Linked DNA regions of Rattus norvegicus. The protein of the gene in region 4 interacts with the protein of the main gene of each other region in a pairwise test. Links are inferred from orthologs where the notes say so. Each region holds a gene or a part of one and is shown on either strand. Other genes may lie near its edges. The genes, in order: Exosc1, Pkp2, Rbfox2, Dmrtb1 and Qki.

Region 1 (4,172 bases), on a different chromosome or scaffold from region 4:
GTTGCTGATCAAACTCCAGTGAACAAAGAATGGGTCCAGGACCCCCCCCCCCCAGCCTAGTGGGATATGAGGAGAAGGAGGAGACTAGAAAAAGATGTAATAAATGGACCACAAGTGAAAAGGTTTTACCTTGGGAAACAGAGAAAAAAAACAAAGTCTTTAAATCTAAATGTGGTGAGAAGTCATGGATGACCTGAATGAACAGAGGAGGGATAAGCCAGCATAGTTCCTCCAAACCCCAAGTCCTGCCACCTCTCAGTAGAATCCACAGAGTACAGTGGCCATCTGCCACCAGAGTAGAGATTAGCAGGCAACAGCACTCCCCTAAATCACCATCTGTATCTCAAAGAAGCCTGACTGACAGGGAGGGAAGGGGAGATAGGAATAAATTCCAGAGCCAAGAGATGAAACTGAGATCAAGTCACGGCAAATTTCATCTGGACACAGCTGCTGCTCCCGTGACCTTTGCCATATCAAGCTGATGTCAAGAAAGCATAATATTCTATTAATGAAGTTGTCTTTCCCGGCTAACATGCTAAAATGGAAGAATGCAAAAGGAATGGTATGTTAACGTCAAGCTGCCCATTCATAGTTAAGGAGCTCACGCTCTAGAGTATCTGCCTGCAAGAGAAGAAACTGTCGTTTTACAAAGCTTAAAAAAAAAAAAAAAAAAAAAAAAAAAAAAAAAGGTTGTGTCTCCAGGTGCAGCAGGGTCCAATTATGATAGGCTCAGGTCAAAAAAAAAAAAAGAAAAAGAAAAAAGGCTTAAGCTTAGTCTGTCTCGAACTATCTACGACACTTTGTACAAACCAAACCTTGTCTCTGGATCTGAGTCTCCAAACTCGTGAAATGGGCGAGTTGGGACTGAGGATGAGTTGGGACAGCCACGCAGGGCAGGGCGCAGAGAGTCCAGGAACTTGAACTTAAGGGCCTGGACACCCGAGACTCGGATGGGGACAAGAACCGCGCCTTCACTCTTACCTGCCTCCTGCCAGCTTCTCAATCAGCTAGATTAGGCCAAGTCTCCCTGTCAGCCACTCACTGCCTCCCCTTCCAGCTCGGGACCCAGGCCGGGCCGAGCTAAGGCTAACCCACCATGGCCCTGAGCCCGCAGCGCCAGCCAGCGGACCGAGACCCGCGGACAGCCCATCACCACCCAGCTGCGCAGGCGCGAGTCTCAGAGCCCGCAAAGTCACGCCCAGAACTCTGTCCCGGGGCAGCCTGGGAAATGGAGTCAGGCTTCGCTCTTACGCCTTGCGCGGTCGAAAGCGCCAATTGGTGCACGCGTAACTGCGAGGCCGCTCCTCTAGTTGACCAATAAGAAGTCGTCTTGGTTCTCATCCGGGTTGTGGACGGTGGCAAGCATGGCACCACCTGTGAGGTACTGCATCCCGGGTAAGTGAGCGGTCTCCGCAGGCAGACCCTGGCTGCGGGCAGCCAGTTTCTGGGAGCTCGTAGCTGAGGCACATGTCTTCTGCAGGCGAACGTCTGTGTAACTTGGAGGAAGGCAGCCCGGGCAGCGGCACCTACACCCGGCACGGCTACATCTTTTCGTCGCTGGCTGGCTGCCTGACGAAGACCAGCGAGAATGGCGCGGTAAAGAAAGCGGCTAGCCAACGAGCGTCACCTCTCAGGCTGCCATCGAGTTCTGGTCCTTGGGCACAGGCACTACCGGGAGGACCTGTCTTTGGTGTCTCAGAGCTTTGGTCTCCCAGCTTCTCCCAGCTCTGATCCCAGCGCTGTGCTAAAACACACCTGCTGCACACCATTTAGGTTGGGCTGGCTTAGTTGTGTAGAGACACTCACAGAAGGAGGTGGAGGGGAAAAGCACGCAAATTTGAGAATAGCCCGGCCAGCCGAGAGCTTCTTCCCGTCATGCATCTCGACTACCTCCGCTTTCTTGTGGCTCTTGTGTCCCACTTCACTGACATCAATGTAGTAATGCTGGAGATTTTCAGTGTCTTAGTGAACTAAACTCTGTTTCGAAGCCTATGCAATGCATGTACTTGTCTGTCTGGAACACACTTCTGCTCAATCCCTTTTGTTTTTTGTTTGTATGTATGGCTTTCCCAGAGAAGCCCTTCTGGACCTGCTGACTGAGAAAATGGGGGTTTTAGTGGCAGTAGGATTGTTGTGCCCAAGAACCTTCCCTGGAGCACTTATTTAAATATGTTACTCATGATAACTAGATTCTTGCCCAAGTAGAAGTTTAAGTGTAGCCATGCATGGTGATACACGAGTGTATTCCCAGCTTCTAACTGACTCAGATAAAGCAGTGGTTGACATTTGTAAGACTATAAAAACTAAGAATTAAACCTCCTCAGGCTGGGCTTGTGGCTCATCAGCACAGCGTTTGCCTAGCTTGGGACCTGGGGAAAAACACACCCTCTTTAGAGACTGGCAAAACCCAAACTTCCCACTTTGTGTTGTACTTATTTGTAAAAAAAATGGGCTCCAGTCTATTGGTTTTGGAGATAAAACTCAGCCTGTCAGTCTACTCACTACATAGATGTCCTGCCCAGTGGTGCCCTTAGTTGCTACTGGGGATAGAGTCCTGAGCCCAATACACTTAGCTTTTGTTACCAGGGAGACAGACACAAACCATGAGCAAATGCACAAACATATCTTCAAAAGAAGTGTGCGGAACAGTGAGAACATGTAACGGGCTGCATGAATTCTAGATAGTGACAATAATATTTCGGCACCTGAAGATAAGGAGAGGTGGAGGAGTGTGGAAAGAATGGATTAGACAGACAACGTGAAATGGGAGGGACTTAGTAAGGTAAGGAAACAGCACAGAGCAAGAGAGGTAAGATAATACACCAGTTGCCATTGGAGTAAAACAAGAGTTGCCATTCTATAGCATTTAATTGCAAATCCTGAAGTAAAAAAAAAAAAAGTTATAGCTTGAAGAAAGAGTCAGGATATTCATAATTATAAGCAATAGGATTTGTACCAGGAAATCCCAAGAGAGTCTTCAGTCATTTACAACTAATCAGAATGATCACATTAAACCTGGCAGCCTAGTTCTAATGGCCTCTGATCCTCTTTATTTCCTAAAATGACTAATGTCCTCTGCTATGGGCTATAAATGAATCTACAGGCTGCCTGCCCTTGTGACCTCGGCTGTTGTAAGATACCCCTGTATTATCCTCAGCCTTCAGTTCTCTTTACCCAGGGCTTACTTAGCCAGTACACTAACCTTCGTATTCTCTCCACAGCTTCCCGTGGTATCAGTAATGAGAGAGACAGAGTCCCAGTTACTTCCAGATGTGGGAGCTGTCGTCACCTGTAAGGTAAGCCGGTCCTAGTCATGATTAGGCCGAGATCCTACAACTGCCGTGGTCCGCTGCTTAATACAGTAGTCCCTAGCTAGAGAAGGGTGTTTTAAGTTTATTACTGCTAGAAGGTCAATCTCAGGGATGGATGTGTTGACTCAGCCTTTAATCCCAGTACTCAGGAGGCATAGGCAGGTGAATACTTGAGGACAGCCTGGTCTATGCAGAGAGTTCCAGGACACCCAGGGCTTCATAGAGAAACCCTGTCTCAAAAAGAAAGAAAAGAATGAAAAATTTATTTTTAGCCAGGCTAAAATATAAAATATCTGTGGTCTCGGTATTTGGATGCTGTTTAGAATTATTGAACAGTAGTCCAAGACCAGAATAGGCTACAGAGTGAGATCCTGCACCCCACAATCCCAACACTATTCACATTTTAAGTACTCGGTAGCAAATTGTGGTTAGTGGCTGCCATACTGGTTGACATATGACTTTAGTTTGGGGGGTGTGGGAAAGTGATGGACTCCCCAGAAGTACGTCTTCAGTTCTAGGAAATGATTGGTTTTGTTTTACCTCATGTGAATAGTTATCTTGTCTGTATCATATGCGTGCCTGCTACCACAAAGCCTAGAAAGGTGTGTCGCACCCCCTGGGACTAGAGGCACAGATAATTATAGGCCACCATATGGGTGCTAGGAATGGAATCCAGGTCCTCTAGAAGAGCAGCCGGTGCGCTTAGCTGCTGAGCCATCTGTCCAGCCCCAGGAAATCACATTTCTGTCATCACAGAAATTTTTGCTGGCAGGGCATAGGTGCACGCTCCTCCAATGGTGCTTGGGAGGCGGGGAATCTCAAAGGGGAGCTAGGCTGCAAGGTAACCCTCTGTCCCAAAGA
Region 2 (3,519 bases), on a different chromosome or scaffold from region 4:
ATTACCACAAGAGTATATGTATTGACTTGAAAAGACTGTTTTCTGCCTGTATCGATAGGGCCTTTTTAGTCTCAGAGGCACACACATTTTCAGTTGTTTTTCTGTGTCGCAATCTGTAAATATGTATTATAACTATATAAATGTAAGGGTCTACAAGTAATTAATGGCTTAAAAATGTATATAAATAAAAAAACAAAAAAAAAACAAAAAGAAAAAGAAAAGGGGTTGGGGATTTAGCTCAGTGGTAGAGCGCTTGCCTAGGAAGCGCAAGGCCCTGGGTTCGGTCCCCAGCTCCGAAAAAGAACCAAAAAAAAAAAAAAAGTATATAAATACCATGGATTTTTCCTTTATAGATTATTTATTTATTAGCACTACCTTTGTGATATATATATATACATATATATATATATATATACATATATATATATAATTTAAAAGCTTCCTGAAAAGTGAGCTTGAGGCAACTGTTAAAGCCACACTGAGCAGAGAGTTGAGAAACGTGAATGAAATGGCTAAAACTGCACATTCTCACTGACCCAGACACATCTCTGTCCTTTCAGCTATGCCCCCAACAAGGCCAGCAAAGCTGCCTCTGTCCTCCTGTACTCTCTGTGGGCACACACCGAGCTCCATAATGCCTACAAGAAGGTAAGAACACTGACCAGCTAAAACCTGACCCCTCGTGAGAAATCAGCAAATTGCTCTTCCTCCTCTTCATCATCATCCTCTTCCTCTTCTTCCTTCTTTGTTTCTTGAACATGTTTTTGTTGTTTTGTTTTGTTTTTTGAGAATTTCATACATGAGCACAGTATCTGCAACACTTCTACCTCTTCCTCCCCTTCTGGTTCCTCTCTTGCAAATTCAGGTTCTCTTCTTTAAGTATTATTGTTACATGTATATACATATGTGCATGAATACGTGTGTGTGTGTGTGTGTGTGTGTGTGTGTGTGTGTCTGTGTGTGTGTACTCGAGCGTATATGGAACCCACTGAGTCTACTCAGCTTTGCTCATGTCCACAGTTGACAACCTGTGTAGGAGTTCATCCCTGGGAACGATTGGTTCTCCCTCTCCCTTGATCCCTGTGGCTCTTCATCTAGAAGGGCGATGTGAATTTCCTTTGTCCACATTGATATGTCAACTGGTAGTGCCAGTTTGCTGGTTGTGTTCAAATGATTATATTATTGAAAGTTCATGGATCCATTTCCCCTGCCATATCTAGGGGACACGATACAGTCTAGCAACCTCTGGCTCATAGGATCTTTCTATCCTTTCTTCCATGATTCTCCCTGGGCTCTAGGTAGAGGGTTGCATCACAGATGCACCACTTGTAGCAGGGCACTGCATGGTCCCATACTCTCTACATTTTGATCCGTTGTAGATATCCGTAATAGTTTCTGTATGTTGCAAAAGGAAGCTTCTTTGGTGATGAGTGAGAGCTACACTTCTTTTTGTGGCTCTAAGGAAAAGTAATTAGAATACAAATTAGAAATTATACTGATTTAGGATATGGCAGTAGTAGACTAATTTTGGGGATATGACCTCTCTAGGGTTTACAGTACCAAACAGTATTTCCCTACAGTGAGTGGTCAGAAACCCAATTAGACAGTTGTTAATCACCTCCCAGACAGAACCACCACGATTTGAGCGTATCTTGTCGGTCCAATCCTTGTTGTGGTACACAGGCTTTACAGGGAACGACGACTACTGATTGATCATCCTCTCCCTTGGCAACTACTGATATGTGAGAGCCACTCCTTAAGAAGGAGGCTTCCAGGTCAGTTCCAGCTCGCTTCCTCCAAGTCCTCTGTGCACAGTGTGTGGCGTCTTCAGCAGTAGGAATTTACCTTCAAGTTCTAGGAGGCAACACAGGAAATAGTAATGGCTTATGTTGCTTTGGGAGTCTTATGGTCTCCCTTGACCAGCAAAGAAGAAGAGGGTTTCTCATGTGTAGTACCAGAGGTTTTGTTAGATAGTCCATGGCTTTTTAGGGAAACATTATCACCCCAAGTGGTATAACGTCATTAAGCTCTATATCCATGTATACACATATATGTAATTTTAAATAAACATAAAATAATTTGCTATGCTTTTTCAAACGTTCTTAGTGTTCCTTATCCTTCCTCCTTCCCTTTTTGTCTGTATCACCCCCCCAAATCTCCAATTAATATGTTCCCATCTTTTCCATTTCCACCTTCCTATCACCTGTGTCTTGTCATTCAAGAACTTTCCCTCACTCCATGACCCCACCTTTCCTTTATTGCCCCGTAGCCCAACCTTTGCCTCACTCTGGCCCAACTTCGATCCCCCTTTTCTCCTTCTGGCTTCTGCAGATACTCCAGGCTTCCATATGAAGATTAAGAGCTAGAGCCGTAAAATAAGAGAGAACATGTGACTTGATTCTCTGGGTCTGGATCACCTCTCTCAGTAAAATATGTTTTAGTTTCATCCCTGTACCTGAAAATTATATGCCTTTATTTTTCTTCACAGGTGAATAGAGTTTCGATGTGTACATGTACTGCATTTTTATCATCCAGTCATCAACTGAAGGGCATTTAGGTTGTTTCAAGAAAGTATTTCAACAGTATTTGAGATTTCCTCTTTCCCCATCAGAATGCTAAGATTAAGAGTGAAAAGAGTAGGTAAGGATTATGGGAAAGCAGCAACCTCATTCACTGTTGGGACTGCACACTGTTGCAGCCATTCTGGAAATCAGTATGGATTTTTCACTCTCAGAGAGTGAAAAATAAATCACTATATGACCAGCTCTATGACTCCTTGACGTATGTCCTCAGGACATTGTGTGAGACAGACGCCTGTTCACTGCTGCCCTGTTCACAACAGCCAGAAAATGCAAACAACCTAAATATCCTTCAATTGACAAGTGGATGAGGCATTTTCTTATGTGAGAATTTTTATATTTTCTATTTTTGTCTGCTTCTTCTAAAGGCTCAGTTTAAGAAGACGGACTTCGTCAACAGCCGGACTGCCAAGGCCTCCCACTCCCTTAAAGACTAATAAGGAGAAGACGACTCAGGAACTCCAGCTTCACAATTCTCCACTGAAAAAATAAAACAAAAAACAAAAAACAAAAAAAAAATCCCCAAAGAAAACACCTATTTTTCTACTAACTGACCCAAGAAACCTCAAAAAGCATGCTTTGTTTATACTCTTTTCTATTTTCATCCCCCAAATCTAGTAACGAATATCTGAATATGATTTTGTTAGACATCCTGGAGACTTGCCAGGTCGCACCAGTGTGGAATCCGTGTTCCCTGTGCAGATGATGGGCATCAGTATCCAGGCTTATGTACACCCATGTGGGTGCTCATCGGAGGAATCTGAGGAAGCCTAGTCACTTGTCTGCATGTCACCTCCTTAGTGAGCCAGAGGTGTGTGTGCACCAGTGCTGCACAGGACCCAAGTGCAGGAATAAAGCTTTGATGGCAGATCACTTCCTCTGTGATTGTTCTTGGCCCTGCTGCATTGCCGTTCTTGGCTTTGCCTTTTCTTTCTCTAGC
Region 3 (3,519 bases), on a different chromosome or scaffold from region 4:
CCCCAGCCCTGGTAGCAGTTGTTCCATGCTTTCTTCCTTTTAGCTCTAATGGGCCTCTTCATTCAGGTTCCCGGGTGAGAGCCTTCATACATCTTCTCACTGCTCACCTGTGCTTATGTATGTCTTATGTCTGTGGGTGCATACACAGATGTTCTTCTGTATATGTGAATGCATGTGGAGGTTGTAAGTTGACATACAGTGTCTTCTTCAGTTGCTTTCCACCTTAGTTTTGAGACAGGATCTCTAATGTAACCTGAAACTCATCTTTTGACAAGACTGACTGGCCAGCAATCCCAGGGATCCTCCTATCTCTGCCTATCCAGCCCCAAGCACTTCAGCATCTGAACTGTCTTCCCTGTGTTGGTTTTAGAAAGGCAGGCCAAGTTTGAAAGCCTACCTAAGCAAATGCCAGGGAATAAATATGTAAAATGCTTAAGAGCAAAACTTTTTAGCATCCTAGTTAAACTGGGGGATATTCTTTTAAGCACTTGTTTTATGATTGAGGGCTGTCTGATTGGGGTGCCTTAGGATCTGCAGCCCGCTGTTTAGATTATGTTTGTAAGTTGGAGTCAAGATTACCAAATGGAAAAATTAGAATGAAGTCAAAAAGGAATGGAAAGACAACAAAAAAATACCTTCTCTTTTCTTCATCACATGGACTTCACCCTAGAAAGACTAATAATTTACCTTTCCAGGCGCCTAGCCCAGAGTATAAAGCGTAGGGGCCAGAGATGCGCGACTTGATAAGAAAACTTGCTGATTGGTGCTGCTTAGTCTCTGTCAGCTTGACACAAACTAGAGTTACATGGGAAGAGGGGTCAACTAAGGAATTGCCTGTCAGGCTGACCTGGAAACATGGCTGTAGGCCAGTGTTTTATTAATGATTACAGTGGGAAAACCCAGCCTACTGTGGGCAGTGACACTCTGGGTAGGTGGTCCTGGGTTGTATAAGAAAGCAGGGCAGAGCAAGCCAGTAAGTAATGCTCCTCCATCAATTCCTGCCTCCATCAGGAGCTCACAATACCTACTCCAGCTCCTGAATGTTTGGTGCCGTCTTCTGGCTTCTGCAAGGACATAACAGATGTATACATATACATACATTTTAAAAATAATACAAATATTTTAAAAGCATTTCACATATGTAGAGGTAATCATATCAATTATGATAAGTTGGCTGGAAGCCATTGTATTTCCCTTTCAACTTAAAACTTTGACATGTGGACTGAAAATTGATTTGAACACATTCTTAAATTGTTTTTATTATTATGAATGTTAATGACTTCATATTTCTAATAGAAACAATAATTATAATATATTTGGTAGAGTAAATGCTATAAAACATTGTCCCCAGTCTGTTCTCTTAGCATATAGACAGCTATTTAAGTCTTGCTATTAGCCACATTTCTCTAAGTAAAATGAAATCCTGACACACACATACACACACACACACACACACACACACACACACACACACACACACCCAATGGAACCCTCACAGAAGACAGAGTCTGACTGTGGTTGCATCTCTGTGGTGCTTAGACTATGGGTATACACTAAAAGCATTACCTTCTCCTGATCCCCACCACTAGCTGATGTGTTTATTCAGCTAGCTGAGCCAGCTCTGGCAGAAATAGCCCCACAGGATGATTCATGCTGTATACTTGTGTACCAGAGTCTCACTCCCATCAGGGATGGGGTGAAAAATGGAGGTTAGAGTTCAAGAAGAGCAGTGTCAGAGCCAGAGGCAAGTCCTTTGCTTGCTAATCTGAACCTGGAAGCTGTGTCTTTAAACCTTTGTATGTCTCTTCATAGACCCTTTCTGGAGATTTCTGAAAGGTGATCGATCCTTAGGCTCTGCTCATCTATTAGTCTGCCTGAATTTGAATTTTTGTCTGTTGCACGCCTGTCTTCGTATTAATCAATCCTCTAATGGCCTTGGAAGCAGGATGTCCTGCCAACTATGGGTATAGGCAGAACACCAAATGAGATGGAAGAGATGATTAAATATTAAACTCTTGGCTATCAAGGTGGCTCAGCAGGTAAAGGTACTTATCACCAAATCTGAGTTTGATCCCAGGGACTCGTGTTGAAAGAGGATGTGGAATCAAGTTGCCCTCCTACCTCCACACTACTGTACCATAATTCTCACAAGCAAAACACACATAAAATTAAGTTAATCAGTTGATTTTTTTTTTTTTTAAAGAATGATGATCCCAGCAGTTTTTTTCTGAGTGGGGGACAGTGAGAGAACATGCCAAAAGACCTGTGTTCTTACCTTGAAAGTCATTTTATGATAAAGATTTATTCACTCACTCCTTTCTCTTCTGTTGCTTGCTCTAGGGTAACCAGGAGCCAACAACAACTCCTGACGCAATGGTTCAGCCTTTTACTACCATCCCATTCCCACCACCTCCACAGAACGGAATTCCCACAGAATATGGAGTGCCACACACTCAGGACTATGCCGGCCAGACCAGTGAACATAACCTGACACTCTACGGGAGTTCACAGCCCCATGGAGAACAGAGTAGCAATTCACCCAGCAACCAGAATGGATCTCTCACGGTATGTGAAGTCGGAGACGCAAGGTGAAATGTTCACCTTCTCAGAAGACAGACAGAAAGCCTTGAGTTAGTTTAGCCTTGCTATGCGTTGCCCAGCGTGCATGTGCTGACTGTTCTTTCCTAAGCTGCACAGTGCAGAGTTTGAACTAAGCCTCACCACTGCTGCCTGGAAGCAACCTTCCTGCACCCTCCATTGTATGAATCCGCACCCAGCCTCATCTGCACAGTCTCACAGGCTGCCTCACACAGCCTCCTCCTTGCTCCTTGGCGCTCTAGGCCATTTAAATGACTTGTACTTCCCTCCTGGTTTTCCTACTCAGCAACGGGTGTTGTGATGCTTCCTTCTCCTCTTGTTCAAATTTCAGATGTGGCAGCGTTCTGAGTGCCTTCTCTGCATCCTTACCCCACCAACTCACTCTTTACTTAAGCCAAAGCCAGGTGTCACCGATCCTCACTCTTCATGTCTACCCTCAGTCATGAAGGACGTTAGCAAGCGCAGTTCCACAGTGGTGCAAAGTACAGTAGTGCTCAGTTCTCCCCGGCGGAGGGCAGAGGGCGGAGGGCGGAGGGCGGAGGGCGGAGCTCTTCTGCTAGCCGCTTGGGGTTGATTCAGCTGACTAGAGATTAAATCACAGCCTGGCCTCAGAAGAATGAGTTTAGGCAAGTTATTTAATGTTCCTTTGCCTTGAAATAGAAGAAAAGGAAGGTCATAATGCCTACCTCAAAAGCTGTCAAGAACATTCTCATGAACTTGGTGGCACAGGCTTGTATCTTTGCAACCCAGGAGTCTGAGGCAGGTGGGTTGCCATAATTTAAGGTGTACTGGAGCTACAAAGAGAATTCAAAGCCAGCCATGATTCATTAACAAGATCCTGTCTGAAACTTACAAGTATAAAGGGTGCTGGACATGCACACTGCACTCTCAAGCTGCCACTGCCTCTGTTTTCTCAAGCAC
Region 4 (2,574 bases):
GTGAGGGGACTGGGACTCTCACCAGTGTGCTAGTGCTGCTGTTAGTGTTATATGGCAGCTACTGCTAGACTTTTAAGTGGTTAAAGGGCGGCAGAGCAGCTGTTAAATGCCCAGCCCTAGGTGGGACGTCCGTCCCTTATCACCCTCTACCAGCTCCCAGGGGACATCATGGAGGGGAGAGGGAAGAACATCAGAGCCAGGAGAAGGGGCAGAGCGTGTCGAGCATAGCTTGTTCGTCCTACCCACCAGCTCACAGCAGCCTACTACTTGCATGGGACCCCCCCCCCCAAGGATCTGCAGGCAATTAATAGTTAATTAATAGAGCAAGGGGTAGACTCTTTATTCGGTGGTGTGACCACCCTTGTTCCTGAAAGTAACCTTAGCTAACCTTACTGGTTCACACACATACACAGAGAGGCATTAAGGTAGAAAGGGGACAAAGGGCAGAAAGGATCAACGACAAGGAGAGGAGATGCGAGGGCACTGGGTGAATGCAGCCAGAATACATTATCTGTGCATGCGTAAGAGTATAATGAAGCCCAGTGTACCTCTCGAGGCTTCTTTGGTCGGTTATGTCAATCTTGCTGTTGCCTGGGAGACAGCAGTGCAATGCTTTACCCCTCGGCTTTGTGTTCTTAACACTTCCCTCTCTGTTTATCTTCTTAGGGCATCCTCTGAGATTCAAGTCTGATCATGTGGTAGGAGCTGGGTACCCTGAGAGAGAGCCGTTCAAGCAGTGCCCTGCCTGCATCCCTGTGCCACCCTACCAGCCCTTCCCACTTTCGGAAGGCCAGGATTCATCCTCTGCTCTGGGGGTCCCTCAACAAAGAGGCTTTCGGCACGTCTCCTGCGGCCCCTATCATGGAAATAGCTTGGTAAGTTGGAGTCTGACTCCGGTCTAAGCTCGCCCTTATCCCAGCTGCCCTTATCACTTCCGCTGGCCCTCAGTCCCAGAGGACCGGTGGTCATAGACAGTATCTCTCGGAGTACACAGAGGTCTGCACCACTGGGCCTGGGCTGTGATGTCTGCTCCCCAGACTTGGAACCCAGGGAAGACTGTAGGCTTGATCCATGCAATGCAGCTGTCAGAGCGGCCTTCATTCTACTGAGCACCGACGCCACAGGGCTCGTGAATGAGGCCTGGGATTCAGCACACTTGGCTGATTGGTATGGATTCAGAGATGCCCGGCTTCAAGCCCAGGCGTTGTCTACTATCCCAAGTGTGTCTCAGACGTACACCAAATCTAGCTCTCAGCTCCCATGGCACCATTTCCTGCCCAGCCTGAAAGATGTGGCTGCTCCCGTCAGTGCCAGCCTGGCCTAGGCAGGAGCTTTGTTCTAAGGAGAGACTTGGTCGACAGCTTGGAATTCAAATGCTGACAATTCCCTCTTCCACGGTCACCACGTCTGGATTAAAACTAAGAGCCAGGAGACTATTTTCACTCACGTGCCCCTGCCCTCACCATCCCTGTCCCTGCCTATTTACTGCTATTGTGTGTGCTTCCTCTAGTCCCCTTTGCCCAAGAGAGTTGGACAAAGCCCAGAGAGAAAGCAATCTGCCTTCTTCCCAGCTCTGCACCCTGGAGAATTCTGCTCTCCCAAATCCCCTAGGGAAAGCCCCCAGGCTCAGCTAAGATATGCCTGCATTCCTGCTTGCCTGCGTTCATGCAGCCCGTGTCTGCTGAACGCCCTGTCCCAAGTGCCCTGCACAAGAAGGGTATCTACCACCCCAGGGACCCCCTGATAAATAAAAGATGTGACTGAGTTCAGCTCACTGTCTCCCTCTCTGCCCCTCCTTCTGTGTGTCCACACAGGTGTCAGAACCAGCCAGAGACCTGCAGCCAACCTACTGCTCACCCCCTCCCCCTCCACTACCACCTCCCCCACCCCAGCCACAGCAGCCCCACTTCCTCCCACCAGGCTACCTCTCTGCTCTCCACTTCCTGCCACCGCCACCACCGCCACCATCTCCACCGTCTTTCTCGCTGACCATCCTGTATGATACAGACAAGGAGAAAACCAGTAAGACAGGGATATTCTGGGTGATGGGGAGGACTGTAGGGGAGAGGTCACCTGAAGTGGGGGGTGGAGAGAGGGGCTGTGGGCTGAGCTCATTCCTCAGCCCTCCCCGTAGTCTATAAGTGTGAATCCATGGCGGTTAGAACAGGATTACTGAGGGCAAGGAGTGGGGGAGTATGCTCACGTTCATAGAGTGCTCAGTAAATGAGAGGCCCAGGACTTCTGGTCAGGAAGGAGCCTACAGCCACAGGAGGAGCCATGCCGGAGACCCCACTGTCGTCATCCTCCAAGTCCCTTGGACAGGAGCTAGAGAGTCTGCCTGGCAACTCTGCCACTGCTAATTGAGACACCTGAATAGGGAGCCTCAGGCTTCCCCCTCACAGGGTCAGCGGTCCTTTGAGATTTATGTACACTCTGTGACTTCTTTCTAATTTTTAAAAACATGGATATTTTCTTTTTGTGCATATGTATATGCATGTCTGTGTGTGGGAAGGTGAGCATGCATGTGTGTGAAGTCAGAGGATAGCCCTAGGTGCTACCTTTAGGAACATGGTC
Region 5 (3,519 bases), on a different chromosome or scaffold from region 4:
GTGTGTGTGTGTGTGTCTGTGTGTGTGACATTAGTCAAAGGACAAACTTTTGAAAGTTTTTTTTATTTGAAGTGTAATGAAATGGCCCTGCTGCTGCTCTGGTCTTTCCTTTCCCCTGCTTGCATGTTTGCACTCGTGTTGTTCGCTATTAAAAGTTCCTATGCAAGTTCAGAGATCACTGAGGGAGAATGTTTCAAACTACGTTCTCCCTTTCATGGATTGTGGCATAATTTTATAAGCTGTGTGAGAGAATAGTTGCTGTTTTGAGTTGAGCTACGGTTTACATGTCATTTATTTGAACATATTTTGAGCAAGCACACACACACACACACGAATAATTTTAAACTTATAATCAAATTTCCCAAGATAGGCAGCACTGAGTTCAGCAGTGCTTGCTGTGGTTGGCTCTGATGTACTCTTTATCGTCATGGAGTTAGCAGTAGGGCTGTTTCTGCATTCTCTTCCTCACGCAGCAATCCCTAGCATGCTGGGAACACATGATGTCAGTGTTGACTTACCTGACTTATCCAGGGAGCTTTCCTTGAACAGAGTTGTACTTTGGAGATACAGTGTGTGGACTCAACTCCTGCTACTTTGTTGCATCTTTTAATTGGAATGTTCTCTTGTGGGGTTTTTTGGATGCAGTTTAGTCTCTCAAAATGTTGTAAATGGATATATCAGCAGAGATAGGAAAAGTATAACATTTAATGGACTTGATCTTTTTTTGATTTTTACAGTGGGTTTTTATTTTTGCATTTGTTGATCATGTTGGGGAGAGGAAGCTGACTGCACTTGGTTGATGTGCTTTGGCATTTCCGTGTGGTCAATGCATGTACTAATGATTTCCTTTTATTTTTCTTCTTTTCTGCTTTTTCCTTTCTTTTTCCTACTTCCCTCTCATTTCCTCATGTTTTATTACTGCTATCCCTATACTTCTTTCTAAATTTCTTTGCTTACTGTAGCAGCCCTTGCCTTTTCTCTTGCAGCAACTGCCCAGGCTGCTCCAAGGATCATCACTGGGCCCGCGCCTGTCCTCCCACCAGCTGCTCTGCGTACACCCACGCCAGCTGGCCCTACCATAATGCCTTTGATCAGACAGATTCAGACCGCTGTCATGCCAAACGGAACTCCTCACCCAACTGCTGCAATAGTCCCTCCAGGGCCTGAAGCTGGGTTAATCTACACACCCTATGAGTACCCCTACACGTTGGCACCAGCTACGTCAATCCTTGAGTACCCCATTGAACCCAGCGGTGTGTTAGGTGAGTATGATTTCTGTCCTGAGTGATTAATGCATTCCTAAATTTTGGCACCGCAGACTTTGAAAGGATATTTATCAATTTCAGAAAGACATTGTAAGTTTTAATTAGCAAAAGTTGAAAACTAAATAGGTTTTATTTCAGTTCCTCACTAGGGTTCTCCCCATTAAGTAGCGACACCTTAATTTGGGTTAATTTCCTTTAGTGTCTCAGGATCACTGTAGGGAAACTGGCCATGCATAGTCTCAGTGAGATGTTTCTTAGGTGACTAAACTTGTTCCTGAGTTTTATTTAGGTCATTTTTGCCCCATTATCCTAATTGACAAAGTTCTACCTCCCAAAATGAGGTTTATTTTGTCTCAGATTGCTTGGTGAATTTTAAAATTCTATCAATATATTGATATTTTTATTAAAAGTCTGTTATTTGTATGTGTTTAAATATTTATGATCACCTGAAGGATGCAGTTGATAGTTGTAGTTTTAAGGGTTTTCAGCTTATATCTTTTAAAGTCCTGGTCAACATGACCAGTATTTTATAATTTCCATATGACTGTGGATTAGATGATCACATACCAACTTAGTAAATTCAATCATGTTGGAGGCAAAAATTGAAGTCATATAAATTCATGCGTTTACATGATCAAAAAGCAATATTCTTGAAAAAGACATTACTGATGCCTTTTTTTTATAGAGTGGATTGAAATGCCAGTCATGCCTGATATTTCAGCCCATTGAGTTGCTGGATGAAGGACTAGAATACAGCAGCTGTTATAACACGACCAGTCAATGTGGAAAACAAAACAAAAAAACAAAACAAAAAAAAATGTTTCTGTGCAACCCCACTGTTTTACCAGACAGAATCTGAAACCTTTTTGTGTATGACCTTGGTGCTGTGTGCCTGCTGTTGACTCCTAGGACTTTGATCTTTAAAGGTTCCCTCCTGATCCCGGCTTAATATTAATTTGAAAATCTTTAATGAACTTGGACATTGAGATTTAAACTTGAAAATTCATTGTTCATTTAAAGAAAGCCACAATGCTCTGTATGTTATCTGTGTGTGTGCATGCACTTAGGTGCCTTTTGTTTATAAACATACATTTTATTGTACATGTTTTCTGTCTAAATCATTGTATAAAATAATTATAAGTCAGAATTATACCACAGAAATGTTAGTAAGAGGCTGTGTTCTGTTGCACATTACTTGAAGCATTTTTAAAAAAAAAAATAACATGTAACCTATAACCTTATTTAAGTTTTCCTTTCTATTAATACTCTGTCCTGTGGCCCTGTGCATGCTCCTTCCCCAGAACTCCTCTCTGCTGCACTCACAGCATCTGTTACTGAGGAGTTAGGGCTCTCAGCTTCCAGCTGCTGCTCCTGACTGTTAGTGCAAGAGCTCCTAGTTTTGCAAGATAGAATTACATTTCTATGCAGTCTGCTTATCTAAAATGAAAAATAGGTTTTCAACCAGTTTACTGCTTAGAGACAGCAAGAGGCACTGCTGTAGAATTTCCCCATTGTAAAGCAACATGTTGTTTGGTTTGGTAAGAATGTATGTGTATATGTGTGTGTGTATACACACACACAGACACACACACACACACACTTGAAACCAACACTATTAAGAGCAAAATACATATGCAGATACCCAATTAACATTGTCAAGGTTCTCAATAAGTACCAAGTAAGAAATTATTATTATTATTATTATTATTATTATTATTATTATTTCTTGCTTTGCCACCTAAGCAGTAAAACTATGATATTTCTCTTTGGAGAACTGAGGAAATTATTTTAAATTCCCAAGTTATAGTATATTTGCACACAGATAACATGCATGTTATGTGTCAAATCTCACATTATTTTAAAATAAGCAGTGCCCTTCAAAACAGATGCAGACATATGTGTTGGTGGTAGTGAGGAGATTGGTATTAGCATCAAATCTTCATTGATGACTAATGTTTAATTCCCTTCCTTTTATCTTTAGGTATGGCTTTCCCAACGAAAGGCTAAGAATTCAAGAACGGTCTTAACCGAACCCTCATCAGATCTGAATTTAACCAATGCTTAGTCTCAGCAGCCTCCGGGACAAACCTTAGCCTAGCAGTCAGTGACTTACTTGCACTTTTTGCACATAGACATAAAGTAAAATGATGCTATTAATTTGGATTAGTCTGTAATACTACAAAGCAACGGTAATTTATAAAGGAGTGTATAGAAGTATACTGACTGCTAAGTGTACTGTACTGTTTGCTTTACT

What was found.
Region 1: the proteins of Dmrtb1 (region 4) and Exosc1 interact in a two-hybrid assay, tested with the Homo sapiens proteins (2 studies listed by BioGRID). The link is inferred for Rattus norvegicus from reciprocal best matches to the Homo sapiens genes DMRTB1 and EXOSC1.
Region 2: the proteins of Dmrtb1 (region 4) and Pkp2 interact in a two-hybrid assay, tested with the Homo sapiens proteins (2 studies listed by BioGRID). The link is inferred for Rattus norvegicus from reciprocal best matches to the Homo sapiens genes DMRTB1 and PKP2.
Region 3: the proteins of Dmrtb1 (region 4) and Rbfox2 interact in a two-hybrid assay, tested with the Homo sapiens proteins (3 studies listed by BioGRID). The link is inferred for Rattus norvegicus from reciprocal best matches to the Homo sapiens genes DMRTB1 and RBFOX2.
Region 5: the proteins of Dmrtb1 (region 4) and Qki interact in a two-hybrid assay, tested with the Homo sapiens proteins (2 studies listed by BioGRID). The link is inferred for Rattus norvegicus from reciprocal best matches to the Homo sapiens genes DMRTB1 and QKI.

The regions. Positions count from the first base shown.
Region 1 is NC_086019.1:250,691,932-250,696,103, reverse strand, and holds the start of Exosc1 (exosome complex component CSL4), read left to right. Parts: upstream 1-1,355; 5' UTR 1,356-1,364; coding exon 1,365-1,395; intron 1,396-1,480; coding exon 1,481-1,596; intron 1,597-1,618; exon of another isoform or gene 1,619-1,773; intron 1,774-1,816; exon of another isoform or gene 1,817-2,782; intron 2,783-3,221; coding exon 3,222-3,296; intron 3,297-4,172. UniProt on the Homo sapiens protein: Non-catalytic component of the RNA exosome complex which has 3'->5' exoribonuclease activity and participates in a multitude of cellular RNA processing and degradation events.
Region 2 is NC_086029.1:98,165,907-98,169,425, reverse strand, and holds the end of Pkp2 (plakophilin-2), read left to right. Parts: intron 1-560; coding exon 561-648; intron 649-2,947; coding exon 2,948-3,016; 3' UTR 3,017-3,452; downstream 3,453-3,519. UniProt on the Homo sapiens protein: A component of desmosome cell-cell junctions which are required for positive regulation of cellular adhesion.
Region 3 is NC_086025.1:110,746,398-110,749,916, reverse strand, and holds part of Rbfox2 (RNA binding protein fox-1 homolog 2), read left to right. Parts: intron 1-2,340; coding exon 2,341-2,565; intron 2,566-3,519. UniProt on the Homo sapiens protein: RNA-binding protein that regulates alternative splicing events by binding to 5'-UGCAUGU-3' elements. Prevents binding of U2AF2 to the 3'-splice site.
Region 4 is NC_086023.1:127,675,686-127,678,259, reverse strand, and holds part of Dmrtb1 (doublesex- and mab-3-related transcription factor B1), read left to right. Parts: intron 1-666; coding exon 667-875; intron 876-1,814; coding exon 1,815-2,022; coding exon of another isoform or gene 2,023-2,141; exon of another isoform or gene 2,142-2,574.
Region 5 is NC_086019.1:53,036,419-53,039,937, forward strand, and holds part of Qki (KH domain-containing RNA-binding protein QKI), read left to right. Parts: intron 1-962; coding exon 963-1,262; intron 1,263-1,950; coding exon of another isoform or gene 1,951-1,994; exon of another isoform or gene 1,995-3,183; coding exon of another isoform or gene 3,184-3,187; exon of another isoform or gene 3,188-3,246; coding exon of another isoform or gene 3,247-3,330; exon of another isoform or gene 3,331-3,519. UniProt on the Homo sapiens protein: RNA reader protein, which recognizes and binds specific RNAs, thereby regulating RNA metabolic processes, such as pre-mRNA splicing, circular RNA (circRNA) formation, mRNA export, mRNA stability and/or translation.